2 linked regions of the Caenorhabditis elegans genome follow. The protein of the gene in region 1 purifies or fractionates together with the protein of each later gene. This does not show direct contact. Each region holds a gene or a part of one and is shown in the gene's direction. Other genes may lie near its edges. The genes, in order: trpl-5 and slc-9B.1.

The links.
Region 2: the proteins of trpl-5 (region 1) and slc-9B.1 fractionate together in Caenorhabditis elegans (co-fractionation; one large-scale study listed by BioGRID). This does not show direct contact.

Annotation. Positions count from the first base shown.
Region 1 is NC_003280.10:2,084,241-2,092,965, reverse strand, and holds trpl-5 (Ion_trans domain-containing protein), read left to right. Parts: upstream 1-2,329; 5' UTR 2,330-2,347; coding exon 2,348-2,491; intron 2,492-2,734; coding exon 2,735-2,828; intron 2,829-2,881; coding exon 2,882-2,981; intron 2,982-3,027; coding exon 3,028-3,174; intron 3,175-3,900; coding exon 3,901-4,141; intron 4,142-4,330; coding exon 4,331-4,414; intron 4,415-4,459; coding exon 4,460-4,636; intron 4,637-5,023; coding exon 5,024-5,350; intron 5,351-5,815; coding exon 5,816-5,894; intron 5,895-5,942; coding exon 5,943-6,055; 3' UTR 6,056-6,207; intron 6,208-6,254; 3' UTR 6,255-6,326; intron 6,327-6,375; 3' UTR 6,376-7,717; downstream 7,718-8,725. Other genes in the region: fbxb-37 (F-box associated domain-containing protein), read left to right, coding at 1-115; T16A1.10 (Transposase), read left to right, coding at 937-943, 995-1,158; fbxc-49 (F-box C protein), read right to left, coding at 8,075-8,359, 8,427-8,562, 8,608-8,725.
Region 2 is NC_003284.9:10,277,125-10,283,717, forward strand, and holds slc-9B.1 (Cation/H+ exchanger transmembrane domain-containing protein), read left to right. Parts: upstream 1-2,474; 5' UTR 2,475-2,508; coding exon 2,509-2,565; intron 2,566-2,613; coding exon 2,614-2,692; intron 2,693-2,739; coding exon 2,740-2,886; intron 2,887-3,736; coding exon 3,737-3,897; intron 3,898-3,941; coding exon 3,942-4,051; intron 4,052-4,132; coding exon 4,133-4,308; intron 4,309-4,354; coding exon 4,355-4,716; intron 4,717-4,758; coding exon 4,759-4,914; intron 4,915-5,028; coding exon 5,029-5,199; intron 5,200-5,253; coding exon 5,254-5,385; 3' UTR 5,386-5,718; downstream 5,719-6,593. Other genes in the region: F41E7.2 (Cation/H+ exchanger transmembrane domain-containing protein), read left to right, coding at 1-37, 87-182, 282-506, 582-686, 735-977; npr-6 (G-protein coupled receptors family 1 profile domain-containing protein), read right to left, coding at 6,027-6,121, 6,279-6,362, 6,411-6,484.

The DNA of each region.
Region 1 (8,725 bases):
AAACGACGGAACAAAAGCGACTGTCTTATTATCAAAAACCGATTACATTTCGTTTGTCATGTGTGTCTCGCCGGTGGTTTTAACAGACTTGCCGGCTTTTAAGATATATCAGTAGAAAATTCAATAAAAACTCAAATCTCATTAATTTCTTTTCTGAAATGCCTAGTTAATTGAGCAGTCAAAATTTAAGTATATCCCCAGTTGATCCAGTTGATGCTCCACTGTTGTCTCTTTTTTTCAAATCAAAAACTTCTGACATTATAAATCTCCATATATGTACGTTTTTAATATTTGTTTTCCTTCATTTATAAATTTTCTGTAATGATCTGTAATGCCAAGTGGATGATGAGTTGGTAATATTAAAATAAATTAAAATGAATAAATGTTTTTTAAAGGTTTCATGTGAAGTGTTTATTTTTATTTATTTAAAATGTTTTTGTGAAAAATAGATAAAAATTAAATATAATTTTGTACTGTATTCCAGGACGGTTAGGATTTTCTAAAGTAAGCAGCCGACATCTGCGAAGGCCCGCGCTGGCATGCGCACTAAGCTTGATTTTATTTCCATGGTTTTTCCCACAGATTCTCTTTTTTTTTGCAAATTCTCATTTTTGAGCTTCTTTTAATTCTTTCTGTATTTTCAAAACCAGATTTTTGTTATGATGGGACATCCTGACTCCACGTACGCACGCACAGAAACGCGACGGCTAGCAAGCGCGCTCTAATAATTTTTTTGAGGAAAGCGGAGACCAAGATGGTTAAGGTAAATAGTCTGTGCACTCCCCAGGGACCTTGTTGTAATATTTGCCATCTGTTGTGGCGGGGTCACCCCCTCCCACCTCTTTCTCCCGTTCATTATTTCCCCAAGACGGCCTACTGAATGGCTGTCCCTTTTTTTATTGATTTTATGCTTAATTTCTTCAGAGGTTCTTCAAAATGAGTGGTAAGTTTTTTTTTCAAGTTTATTTTTTATTATACTAGTGTAAATTTTCAGAAATTTTCACCATTGAAGAAGTCCTGGAAGCCATACTCCAGTCAGGAATGAAGTTGAAATTGGAAAAGTCGAAGTTCGAACATACATCGTATCGAAAGATGGAATACAAACCGATCCTGAGAAAATTAAAGCTGTTTCGAAGTTTCCCCAACCGAAGAATGTGATGGATGTTTGTCTTTCTATCGACGATTCATCAAAAACTTTGTGGATCAACTACGATCTGAACTGACGAAGAAGGATGTTAACTACAAGACCAATCCTGGTGGCACCTGTTTTTGGGAAACCGTTCGTGATCGAAACAGACGATTTATGATTAGATTTTGGTGCTGTACTATCGCAAGCACAGGACGAAAATGGCAAAGATCTTCGCGTCGTGGCGTATCTCTTGTGGCGTAATATAAATTTTCTGTGGTGAATAAATTTTGTAATTGAGATTGTTTATATAATTGTTTTTTGATGAAATGCCAGATGAATCCTTCTACTATGAAATAACAATATTTTCATTGTACAGGAAATAACCACAATCAATTTGACTACATTTGTAGCTTGTCCGCGTCAGGAGATAAAAATCATTTCCGAATTTTTTTGGGCTTTTTTTTAGTGTGAAACGTTGCTTATTATAGTTCCCCGGCTCACAACTTTCGAATTTGAATAACTAAGTTGTAAGTTCAACTTGTAGATGTGTAGAGAAATTTTTTATCTTTCGAACAAGCCTAATTAGACATTTGTAGCTTGTCCGCGTCATGAGATAAAAATAATTTTCGAATTTTTTTGGGCCGAATTTTCAAAACTTCATTACTTTGCAGAAACTTGACCGGGGCAGCTAAATTTTTTGGAGAGATCATAACTAAAACTCTTCTATCGGAATATCAACATGAGAACCCCAAATCTACCGGCTTCTTCAAAGACTTCTCTCGTGAGAAGAAACCGATAACAAACATAAAATTCCAAATTCTATATTACGGGAAAATCGAAGAGAGCCCTTCTTCATAGGATTGTTCAGAATTGATCTACTCAGTCTAATCCTATCAGCTCTCTTGAACAGAATGTTTCATCATTTCTGATTGGAGTTCCTCTCTCATAAACCAAAGCACAAAGTGTTAGAAATTATCGTGCTGATAAGAAAACCGTTTGTTGAAGTTTTTGTCCTTATCAAGTGTGCATTGTTTCACAACACTTTATAAACTTGCTATAGTTAAACATTTGCTGATAATTTCAGAAAATTCCTGCTGCTAATTTCGTAATAGATGTGTGTCTCTGTTGTAGATGCTTCCTGAGGAACTTGCTCACTTTATTAATGCTTAAAAAGAGCACATCAATTTTTTATTTTAGTTGCTTCGATGCTCTGTGGACATGTCAGGCTCTAGAAGCTCCAGTTTTCAACAACAATCCGCGTCGCAAGCCTTGCTATCTTCGGAAACTACTAAAATAACTATTGAAGCGGATGCTAAGAATAGGGAGACTATTCGTAAGTTGTTGGAAGCGTACGAACAAGAGGTGGGCTATTTTTTCGAAATTTATTTTTTAGAATTAAAAAAATAAAAAATTGCTAAAATTTGTCCAAATTATTTCTAGAAACCATTCTAGAAAAATCTGGAACCTAACAGAAGTTTTCAGAATTATCTCGGAATTTTCAAGCATTTCCCATAGTTTTGGAACATGATAGTGTTTTTGAAAAAATCCCAATAAGGACTATAAAGTTACTGAAATGTTCTAGAACACCCTAGAAATTTTTTTCAGCACAACGTATTCAAGGCGCATGGAATAAAAGGAGCTGACAGAATTTTTAATGAAATTGAGAATATTCTACTTCTGGATCTCAATATCAAAATTGGTAATTTTTGTATTTGATCTTGATAACTTAAACTATATAACTAAAGTCTTCAGTAACCATATATAACAACGACAAAAACTCTGCTGCAATGATTATCGCAGCATTCTTCGGCCGAAGGTTCGCGCTAGATAACCAACCCGGAAATCCCACAAAGTGAGTGTACCTACGCCTGCCTACCTACCTATCACCTCATTTTCAGGTACGTAGAGAAAGATCTTCTGAGCGAATGCCATCATCCTTTGCACACAATAATGGTCATGTGCTATATAGCGCACGTTATGCAGAAGAAATTTTTGGGCAAGGATTCCGGATATGAAGATGGAGAAGTCTACGAGAAACTCAAAAAGTAAGGGATATAATTTGGCAAAGCGGCAAATTTCAAGTCTGCCGACTTGTCAGAAATTTTCATTTTTGGTGGTTTGCAGTTTTGCCGATTGGCAGGAAATGTTTAATTCCGGCAATTTGCGGGTTTTCCGATTTTCCGGAATTTTTCATTTTTGCAAGTTGCCGATTTGTCGATTTGCCGGAAATTTTGAATTCCGGCAATTTGCCCATTTGCCGATTTGCCGGAAACTTCAACTCCGACAACTTGCCGATTTGTCGCAATTTTCAACTCCGGCAACTTGCCGGTTTGCTGAAGTGCCGGAAGTTTTCAATTCCGGTAAATTGCCGGTTTGCCGATTTTCAGGAATTTTTCATTTTGGGCAATTTGCCGATTCGCCGATTTGCCGAAAATGTTCAATTCCGGCAACTTGCCGGTTTGCCAATTTTCTTAAAATTTTCAATTCCGGCAGTTTGCAAATTTGCCGATTTGCCGGAAATCTTTAATTCCGGCAAGTTTCCCGAAATTTTCAATTCCGGCAACTTGCCGATTTGCCGGAAATGTTCAATTCCGGCAACTTGCCGGTTTGCCAATTTTCTTTAAATTTTCAATTCCGGCAACTTGCCGGTCTGCCAATTTTCTTAAAATTTTCAAACTTTAAATTCCGGCAGTCTGTCAATTTGCCAGAAAAAATCGTTTGCCACCCACCCTTCAGATGTTCTAATTTTCTACTCACAACTAAACTTTCAGTGAACTCGAGGACATTGCCTGCAAAATTGTGAGCCATTTGAACAGCGGAGAAAGCGGAGCTGATCGAGTTGCAATAGTTCTGCAAGCGGATTATAAGTCTGAATTTGGAAAGGATACAAAAGGAAAAACTAATACAACTGAGAAATCAGAAGAGAAAGTTGGGCCATATCATGACTATCTAAACCGGAAGTTTGACCAAAGTCGGGAAATCATGGCGATCGCGTATAAGGCAAAAGCAAGGGTAAGAGTATTTTTTCTTTCTTGTGTCCCGACATTTTCCGGGCTCTGCCACTCAAGAGCGTTGCCAATAAAAATCCGCGCAGCCCTGAAATTGTCGGGCGCTTGAACACGGCTCAGTTTTTTGGAGTTCTGTAATTATTAGTTGAAATGATGTGCTGTTAAATTTGAAAATGTGTCAATCTTTTTACAGAAGTTCCTATCTCTCAGGCCATGCTTACACTTAATGGAGACTCGAAATAAGGCCGTGAAAACGATCAAACACACGCTGAATTGGGTAATAATTAAAGTTTCCAAAGAAATTTCGTTCAATTTTTTCCAGACATTTCGACTTGCTTATATACTCATGTTCGCCTATATGCTATGCCGTTATCCGTTTTACAGCAGTTACGACAGTACAAGTAGTCTTGGCTTCTGGGAAATGCTCCCTTTTCTGTTTGTTCCCGCGGTGCTCATAGCACAAGTGTCTATGACAATTATCAAGTCAATTGATCATTTGGTAAGCTCACAGACTTAGGCTTAGGTAAAGGCTTAGGCCTCAGCTTAGGTTCAGGCTCAAGCTTAGGCCTAGGCTCAAGATTAGGCTAAGGTTTAGGCTTAGACTTAGACTTAAGCTTAGCCTTAAGATTAGGATTAGTCTTAGCATTAGGCTTTTGCTTGGGTCTTGACTTAGGCTTAGGTTTATGCATAGGGAAGAGAGGAAAAAAATTCCAGAAATATCAAGAATTTAAAAAACGAGAAAAAAAAAACTAAAATTGCACAATCTCAAAGAAAGCCGAAAAACGTCCTGTGCTCAGAACAAAAAAAACGAATAGTCTGGCAAAAACCTCAAAAAAAGGAAACTTGCCCAAAAATTGCCCGAAAATACAAACATTGCCGATTTCAGATTTTTGACGATTTCAAACTGAAACACGGCTCCAATCCATTTGGCTTCTACTTTTCCAGTGTTCAACGCTACGTTCGTTTGAAGAAGCTCGCGTTTTGGAGAGTTTGTTTAGTAGTTCCACTTCTCAGTTTAGAGGCAATTCGCTTCGTGGTTTTTGCGGGTCTTCCCAGCAAGCCCAGGAACTTTTGGTCGGGAGGATGGGTGATTTTGCCTCTTATGCTGGAACTTTTATACTGCTCTCTGTTCACTATTGCGACGATCTCAAGTCTTCGATTCTTCCATTCAATTCAGTCTATTGGGTTTTTTGTGCACATTTTCAAGAAAATGGTGAGCAATTTTTAATATTTTATTGGTTGGTTAGACGCGAAATTGTCCCAAAAGACTTTTTTAACTTATCAAAATTTTTAATTTAGTTAAAAGGCTTCCATGTAGGCGCCAAAATGCCTGCCAGCCTTGCGGCAACCTCCGCCTACCTCGCGCCGCAAGCTGCATCGTATAGTGTGACGCGGAACCCAGAAACTGTCGGGCGCTGCCAAGAATTACAATTTCGCACTATGCGGTGGCGATAAAGCAGGCGTCAGGCAGGCAGGTTTGGAGCAGGCGTCAGGACCTGAAACCTCGCCTGCCTCCATGGAAGCCCTAGTTTTCAAGACAATGAATTATGAAAGTTAGTTTTTTGAGTCAAACTTGAGTTACTCCACCTGTGAATATTGAATAGACGGTGTGCTTATTAGCCTCGCTGGCAGGCATACCCAGAAAACATGCCTACCTATCTGTAAACCTAAATTTCAGATGAAAACTGTTGGAATGTTCATATTGATATTCTGTACGTTTTGGTTCGTCCTAGCAGTGACTCACGTCAGCCTCTCCAGTAAGTTAACGGCTCCGAATGCAGACTGAAAATCCTAAACTCTTCCAGGAACTCTCCTAGTACATAACAGCACATTCATCTACACACTTAGTCTACCTGGAAAGTTTGAAATATTCGGAGAAGTACAAGATGAAGATCGCATCGGGATACTGTCCAACTGAAGCCATTTTACCAAAACTTTTTGGGATTTTTTCGAGATGGAATATGCGGAAGCCAGTTGCCTATTTCGCAGTACAATTATGCCGTTTTTGGTTTTTACCTACATTTTTGTTTCGGGGATTCTACTGATTAACTTGCTAACTGCGCAGTTAACGTGAATTTTTTTCTGGAAACTTGAAATAAAATTCTATCCAATTACAGAAAAGAATACGAAAAACAATCGGAGAACAGTCTTTACTACAAAGGATACCTTAAATATGAACTTGAGGCAAAGTAAGTGGATCTGCTGTAACCTAACAAAAAGTACTGTGAATATTTTCAGAATTGAATCAAAACTCTACCTGCCTCCTCCGCTGTCACTTATTTATATACTTCTAAGATGTTCAACATGTATGGTCCTACTGATCATGTGGGGCATACAAAAATGGCTCAAAAAAGATGCCGGACGAGTTACACAGTTCTCAGAGTACATATGGAAAAACATTATCGAAAAAATGGAGGGACATCCGTGGGGAGTTGTCAGAAAACATACACCTTCGAAACGAAAAGATCAGAATGATCCCAATGCTCAGAATGCACAAAATGGCAAAAACGATCCAAATGCCCAAAATGCACAAAGTGATCCGAATGCCCATAATGCTCAGAATGTCCAAAATGCTCCAAATGTCCAAAATGCTTCAAATGTCCAGAATTCACAAAATGGCCAAAATGACAAAAACGATCCAAATGCCCAGAATTCACAAAATGGGCAAAATAGGCAAAATGATCCAAATGTCCAGAATTCCCAGAATGCACAAAACGGCCAATATGCCCAAAATTCAAAAAATGGCCAAAATGATCCAAATGCCAAGAATGCACAAAATGGCCAAAATGATCCAAATGCTCCAAATGCCCAAAATAGCAAAGATGATGCAAATGCTCAAAATGCACAAAATGACCAAAATGCTCCAAACGATGCAAATGGCCAGAATGTACAAATTGACAGAAATGATTCAAATGCCCAAAATGGCCAAAATGCTCCAAATGACCAAAATGCTCAAAATGATCCAAATGCTCAAAATGCTCCAAATGTCCAGAATTCTCAAAATACTAGAAATGCTCAAAATTCTCAGAATGCCCAGAATGCCCGAAATGCTCCAAATGCTCAGATTGCACAAAATGATCCTAATGCTCCAAATGCTCAGATTGCACAAAATGCTCCAAATGCTCAAAATGATATAAATGCTCCAAATGTCCAAAATGCTCAAAAAGCTCCAAATGCTCAAAATGCACAAGAGCAACAAGAGGCACAGGCCAAGGAACTTGAAAAGGAAATTGGGCAGTTTTTATGCAAGAGGTCATTTGGCGTCCTGGAAGGACTGATGGATCTTGTCGGCGGTTTCGAGAAGCACACACTCGATGTGAGCACGCTGAAAACAATAAAAGAGAAAACCAATCAGTATTGTGATAGAGTAATTGATGAGGAGAATGCCAGAGAATGCCTTAATTTAGCAGTCAAATTTTAAGTTTTATTTTATTCAATCCAATATATATATATATATATATCCCCAGTTGAACCAGTTGATGCATCTGTTTTTAAATCAAAAACTGCTGACAATTTAAATCTACGTACATGTATGTTTTTACTATTTGCTCTCCCTCATTTATAAATTATCTGTAATGATCTGTAATGTAAGTACCCATTAGATAAAACACTGTCAATAATACAAGATTCATTTCAATCGTCTTAAAAATAGTCCATAAAAAGTTCAAATAAGTCTTTTTCAACTCTATTAAATATCTCAATAGAAATTTTAATAAAGTGTCCATCATTCTCGGCTCTAGCTTGGAAACCAATTGAACCATCATACCAAAATTCGATCAGATTTGGGAATCCATTTACCTCTTCCTCAATGTCACTATCGACTTCTTCTTCATCATAGTAATACACCATCTCGTGACCTTCTGCGAGAAGGCTTAGCAGCTTGTATAAATTTTTGACCATATCAGCATCATCTGTGCGGAAGCAACGGCTTGGTACTTCAAAGTCTTGCTTGCTCAATGTGTCGATAAGGCCGAGAATTCAGTGATAAAGCTTCGTTGAGGGAAATTCCGTCCAACGGAATACTCCGAGGATCGATCAATTGGTGGAGCTGCATCGACCAATTGAAGATCATTTTCATCTTGAATCTCTGGAAGCACTGGGGAAGACGCTCAAGAAGGTCGAGAATCTGGCCTTCTCCTTCAATCTTCAGCCATTTAACATTGATCAACTGGCGTCTGCCTTCCAGTTGCCGGATAGCCAGAGTTTTCGGGTCCTCGTCGAACTGAAAACGTATTCATTAAAAAACCCCATTAACTTGAATAATAAGTAAAACTAATAAAGTATCTTACCTTATTCTCGGTGCCAAGCTTATATTCCACATTATTTATAGAAATTGAATTGCGGTCCAATACAAGGTCATCAATAATGAGTGTCTGAGATTTTCCGAGATTTTCGAGTGAAGGATTCCTAGCTACAAGTTGAAATCTGAAAATTCCGTGTCAATTTGGTTATAGAAGCTGATGGTCTTACCTGATATTTGGATCCAAGTATTTAATTGTAGAAACTAAAGCTGGATACGTGAGTGGTCTGGAAGCCATCGTGGAATTCGCGAGAGTTAAGAAGAAAATCACTTTTAAAGTGACGGCAA
Region 2 (6,593 bases), on another chromosome or scaffold:
CAGCACCACGCACTGGAGAGAAGACAATCCTAAAGGAGTTTGATACAAAAATGTCTTATGGTACTATCTAATTTTGACATCTTCAGATCAAAGTTCTTGTTCATCAATTTGACAATCTTTGGTATTTCGTCGCAGTACCTCTTCTTTTTTCACTTGTTGGGTACACGTTTGATTTTCAAAATGTAAGGCTGTACCTGTTAACTAATTACTGTAAAGAAATGACTATAAAATGTAGTGAATAACTACAACAATCATTAAAGACTCTAGTTTTTACGGTTCAGATGTCAGCTGAGAATTGGAAAACAGCGTTTATCATCATAGCAGTTGGAAGTTCTTTTCGGTTGATTTCTGCAATGATCTTATCGTATTATGGTCACTTTAATATCTACGAACAAATTATTTTGGCATTGACCTTAATGCCAAAAGCGACTGTTCAGTGTGCACTGGCCCCGTCACTCATTTTTATGACAAACGGTTTCCCGGAACTCCGCGAGCAAACCAAACTAGTAAGATATACATATTATTGGATTATAAAAGAAGGAATAGCGGGAATTGTTTGATTAATCCTTTTTTATTTGCAGATCATCAACATTTGCATTACCGCAGTGATGGTGACAAGTCCTATTGTGGAGATATTATTAGATGTTTTGGCCCCAAGAATATTGAAAATTAAAGAAGGAACTTCGGTATTTAATCTTTAATCCAATTCACCAAAATGACAGATATTTTTTTAGACTTACAACAGGAACATTACCAACTCTACTATTCTTGACGAAATGGATCCAAATCTAGAGCTGAAGAAGACATCGTCATCGAATAGCACCAACAACAGCAGAACCAATCTTAATAATAGGATCATCTACGAGTTAAACCCAAATTTTGTGCCGATCAGTATCGAGAACGGTTATTCTCGAGCTTCATATCAACACTCTAATAACACAAAAACTTACGCAAGCGGGAATCGGATCAATAAGTGATTGGAGTTAATATTTTTAAACGAAAACATTTTCAACAGTTTGTTGAAAAGTGCATTATTGTTGCTATATTCCCGATATTATTCCTTTTTGTTTTTATAAAACATTCAAACTCGACATATTGTAAAGTTAAAATCTCAAGCCATATTGAACATATGTTTTGAATATAAACATTATGTTTCGAATAAAACACCGTTTTAAAAATATTTGCATTTGTCTTCAATTGCCAAACGGAGAAATACCGAAATCATTTAATAAACTTGTATTTGATTATTTTACCAATTGGTGCAGAATTTGTAGAAAATATATTGTGTAACCCTAAAATTACTTTCATGATAATCTTTTTGCCAGATATATGCAACTAAATTTTCAGAAGCGTTCTGTTTTCCTAATAACTTTTCAGTCGAATTTTGAACAAGATTATTGTTTCATTGATCAGTGATGTCATTTTGCAAAATAAAACACAAAAATCATGCGGTCATTTGCAGTTAAATCTTTGTAAACAAAAAGATCATTCTATTGTTCTCTATATAAGGAACTAATTAAACCAATAAAAATGTTTTTTCGTGTCGTTAAGGTAACTATATTATTTTTACATTTTATCTGTTATTGTAGTAATGTGTTTTGCTAAATTTTAAAATGATTCTCACAACTTTTCTTCATAATTTTTTGGTAATACTCAAAGGGAAATTCTTTTATACTTCAAAGTTACTGTTATGTACTGGAGGTGGAACGAGGAGAGAATACGAGTAGTTTTTTACATTCCTAACTAATAAATAAATAGAAAGTTAAAGAAAGTTAAAAAAAGAACTCACGTTACAAGGTCTTTGTATCCGCGAGAAGTTTTAAAAAAATTTAAAAATAAACAAAAATAAGTTTCTCAGAAGGAAATAGGGCGGTCTATAATACAAATAATATTGATTATTACTAGAATATTATTTATTTGAATTAGCATTACGCTCTATTTTTTTAATTATAGAGTGCACTTTAGTTTTGGGTCCAAAATAATAAACAATGAAACCCCTGAACTTCGTTCTTTCTGACTCCTGTTTTTTTTCATTTGTTTCTTTTCACACACTTTTCAGACTGACTCGACTGACTCATAGTCTTTCCGAAATTCTGAAGACTTGAAATAAAATTTAAACTAGAATACCGGTGCGTCAACGTTAAAGGATTTGCATAAACGGCAAGTAGCAACATTGAATAATAGTATATAATATGCAAAGGCGAAGAGGCGTCATGCGTTATTGAATAAGTGTATCAGATTAAACGGTAAGCACCCCCTATCTCACTCTCCGAGAAAGTGAAGATAGTTAGTTGAAAGTTAGTAACGGTGTGTGGAAGCGACATTGCAAACACGCCGGCTCTCCTCCCGTTTATTCCGTTTGCCGATTTGGGGCTCATTTGACAGTTCGATCACACACAACCATTCATCTTTTTCTTTCATTATACACTTCTCTTTTTTGTCCATTTGATCTTTTAACAATTTGTTAACTTCAGTTATCAAACAATCACGTGGTGATCAAAACAAATCATGCATTGCGTGGCAAGATTGCACAACACGCTACACAACTTTTTTAATAACAGAGAGGTTAAATTTATAACTTTTCATGTGTAATTTAAAACTATTGTTTTTCAGATAAACTCAATAACTACAACAATACTTATATTCATTTCTCTGTACATTTCTATTATCACTCTCTTAGGTGAAAACTTTTGTAAGTAAAGGTGTTTGAAATCTTTCAAACATAGATTTCAATTTCAGTGAATCCACTTGCCGATCATGTAAATCCAGTCAACGCTACTAATGAAGATGTGACCGTGCGATCGATATTTGTAATATTTATTCTTCTTGTTGCTGGAATTTTTGCAGCAAAAATTTCAAAAGCATTGAGGCTTCCTCCACTATTCGGTATGTGTTTTTTGGTTAATACTGATAATTACTAGGATAAACTATTTGCATGCATTTTTAATCGATTGAGTTATTGATTCTTCAATACCAATATATTTTTTATACGAGTTTATGCCTGAATTTCCAATTAAACCCTAAATGTAGTTTAAGACTTAGTATTAAGATAATCTGCTAAACAACAATTGCATAAACTAGGGCTAAAGGCACACGTTTTTTTTTTAACATGTGGGCCCTGTCCCAATTTCAGTGATTGCTGAAATTGCCAACATTTTATGATGTAAAACACAAATCAAATGTAATCCAAACTCTAAAATATACATTGAAATACAGTATCTACCGGAAAACATTTAATACCTCGTATCACATTTATGCGAACGGATGGTACGCCGAAAAAAAGCATGAAATACTTAATTTAGTCCTTTGAATATATTGAGATTGGTTGACGTACACCAGGATGCATTAAAAGTTTAATAGACCTGTCTGGTAACAGTAAGTAGATTGAAGAGATGCACGGAAAAAACTAGGGCTGTACAACCGGACGTCCGGTCGTCCGAACCGGACGCACATGCGTCCGGTTGGGGGTAGCTATCCACGACGGCCGACAATTTCCGAGTTTCGCGACTCACTATAAAATTGCTGATTAAGAATAGTGAGTGGCGAAACTCGGAAATTGTCGGCCGCCGTGGAAACCTACCCCAAAACCGGACGCAGTGCGTCCGGTGGTGTCAAAATCGGACGACCGGACGCCGATTTGTACAGCCCTAGAAAAAACAACACATGGTTTAAAAATGATTAAAAATGATGTAGTAAGAAGAACAATTAATTCTGCACATCTTTGCATTTTTTCCAGGATGTCTTGCACTTGGAATAATTATCAAAAACATCACTGTCTTTGACCAATTTTTTGTCTTCCCTCCATTTGTCGAAACCATGATTCGAAAAGTCGCTTTGGTCATGATTATTGTTCGTTGGGGGCTTGCAACAGATATTCATTTTCTTTATGAAAATGCTGTGAGTTGGTGTTTTGCATCTACAAACTATAACTATTTTTTCAGCTCATGCCAGTCACCATTGGTCTCGTTACAGCAATTGGAGAAATAATTGCAGTCACAATTGCATCATACTTCATTTTGAATATTTCATTTGTGATGTCGATTTTCTGCGCGTAGGCTTTCAATTTCCTTTTTCACTTTTTCATCAACAATTTTTATTTTATTTTTATCAACAATATTTTTTCATAATTCAGATTAATTCTTGTGACGGTGTCCCCTGCTGTGACCGTTCCAGCCATGATCAACTTCAAAGAAAAACAATTGGGGTCTCTTAAAAGAATTCCTGAAAATATTTTGGCCATTTGTTGCGTCGACAATCTTTTCTGCGTTATTTTATTCATGGTTCTTTCGTCCATTATTTTTACCGATGGTAAGTGTTTGAAACTTGCTCAATTATCACTGAATGTTGATTCAAGCCCCAATAGCTACTACAATCCTTCTCAACGCTGGAAGTATTGTATTTGGATGCATCGGCGGAATTGTACTTGGATGGATTCTGTGGAGATTCCCAAGATCAGATGCTCCACACACTCAATTCGCAAGAATAACTCTTCTTGGTACTATTTGTATTGCAGTTGTTATTGGAACTTATCTTATCAAGTACTCCTGCTCTGGTTTTCTCGCCGCTCTCATCACTAGTGCAATGAGTGCAATGCAATGGAAAGCAGATAATAAAGAGAAGTTAGAATGCGTTGAGTCTACATATAAATACATATGGGATTCCTTCGCGCTTCCACTTCTTTTTATCTGCCTCGGAATGAAGTTTGACTGCTCAACTGTAAGTAGTTAGAGATTGATGTTTTCAAAGTGTCATTTTCAGCTGACATGGGAGATTGTGTTTTTGTGCATTGCTGTTATTGCAATTGGTCTGTTAGTAAGAACGATTTTGGTAATGTTGGTAACACTCTCCTCACACATTAATTTCAAAGAGCAAATTGTTGTTGCTCTGAGCTTGCTTCCAAGAGCCACTTTCCAGGTTTGTGCACAGTTTTTTTTGGTATCATGTTTTTTTCACTCTATTAGTATGAAACACATAAAATTTCAAAATGTTAAACACAGTGGAACTTTAGCTGAAAATTTGCTAATTTAGGCCGACCTTGCTCCAACTCTACTTTTGATGGCTACACCATTCCCAGACATGGCCAAGGATGCAGCACTCATCTTAAAAGCTGCCATTTTATCTGTTCTAATCACAGCTCCTATTTTTGATATTCTTCTCAATCTTGTTGGATCTAAATGTCTCTCTCAATACAATCCACAGGTAGCGTTCTCACTCCCATTTTTGAAATGCAATGTGAAACAAATTTTCATTCAGGATGCGCCGGCAATTGAGAAAAATTTTGACAAAACCTATATGAATGGTGATCATGTTGATGAAACCATCTATGCCGCCCGTCCGAAGACATATTCGGAATACCGCAGTGAAGCTGTTATCGAAAGATATTAAAAATTTACCCAAACTTTTTAGATTTTATTACAATTTTCCTCTGAAAAAAAAAACAAAATAATTCCTAATTTCCCATATTTATAATATTATTATCAAGTCAATTCAAATTCAATTTAAATGACCATAACCAGGAAAAGACATTTCACCAATTTTCCAATTCGATTTATTTTACTTATCCACATCTACCAATTTCCCGTTCCAGCATGTTTTTAAATATGTCATTCTGAAATTTCGTCATGATTCTGTTATACCCTTCTTACTTGAACCATATCTGATCTTATCAACCACACCAGTTGAACCAATTTTTTGTAACCAATATGAAATTTCATTTACAAATATTTTATCAAAATGTGACAAGAAGAAGAAACAAAAGATAAATCAGCATCAAGCAAGATTTGTGCAAATACAGCAGTGCATAAGTTAAGTATAACCACATAGTTTAGATCAGGACAGGTTTGATCAGAGATTTAGCTGAAAAAATCTTAGGAAAGAAAAACAATATGACCAAAAAAATAAAATGTTGAATAAGTGTTTTTATGAAAATTACATATGAAGGCAAGTGGAAAGCGGATAAATGTACTGGCAAGTGACATGACTAAAAGCGACTTTTGTTCTGACTTTCCGGTTTTGTATTGAGCGGCTTAAAGCAGAAGCGTCTGACAACTTGATCCGTTCTCAGGCTCATCGAGATACACGATACTGCGCTGCGGCTCCACTGCAGTTTGAAGTGGACTCTCTGAATCTGTTTCTAAAGATTGCTGGTTTGTTGAAAAGTTCACTGACAACGAGTGCATGCAGGGAATGAATGGCTTCCTATTCTTCGTTGGATGTCGGGTGTAAAAGTTCTTAACGAAGAATAACTAAGGATCAAACAACATAAAAGTAAAACTCACCAGAAATCACCGTAACAGGCTGTTCCTCCACTTTTTTTTTTCGGTTTGCACGTCGAAACGGGTTAGTTATCATAGCGGTGCGTTCTAAAAAAAAAGCTAAGCAAAAATAACTTCAAATTTATCAGGTTTTACCAGTGATGACGCGAATTGGACCAGTTCCAGGACGACGCGCAAACAAGCAGGGAACAACTTTTGCGAACTCCTCACTGAAAATGAGCATTGCAAGAAAATGAAAATTAAATAATTCAATTTATTGAATTTAATTTAATTGAATTTAATTGAATTTTGAACTGTGCAAATTTTTTAAATAATCCT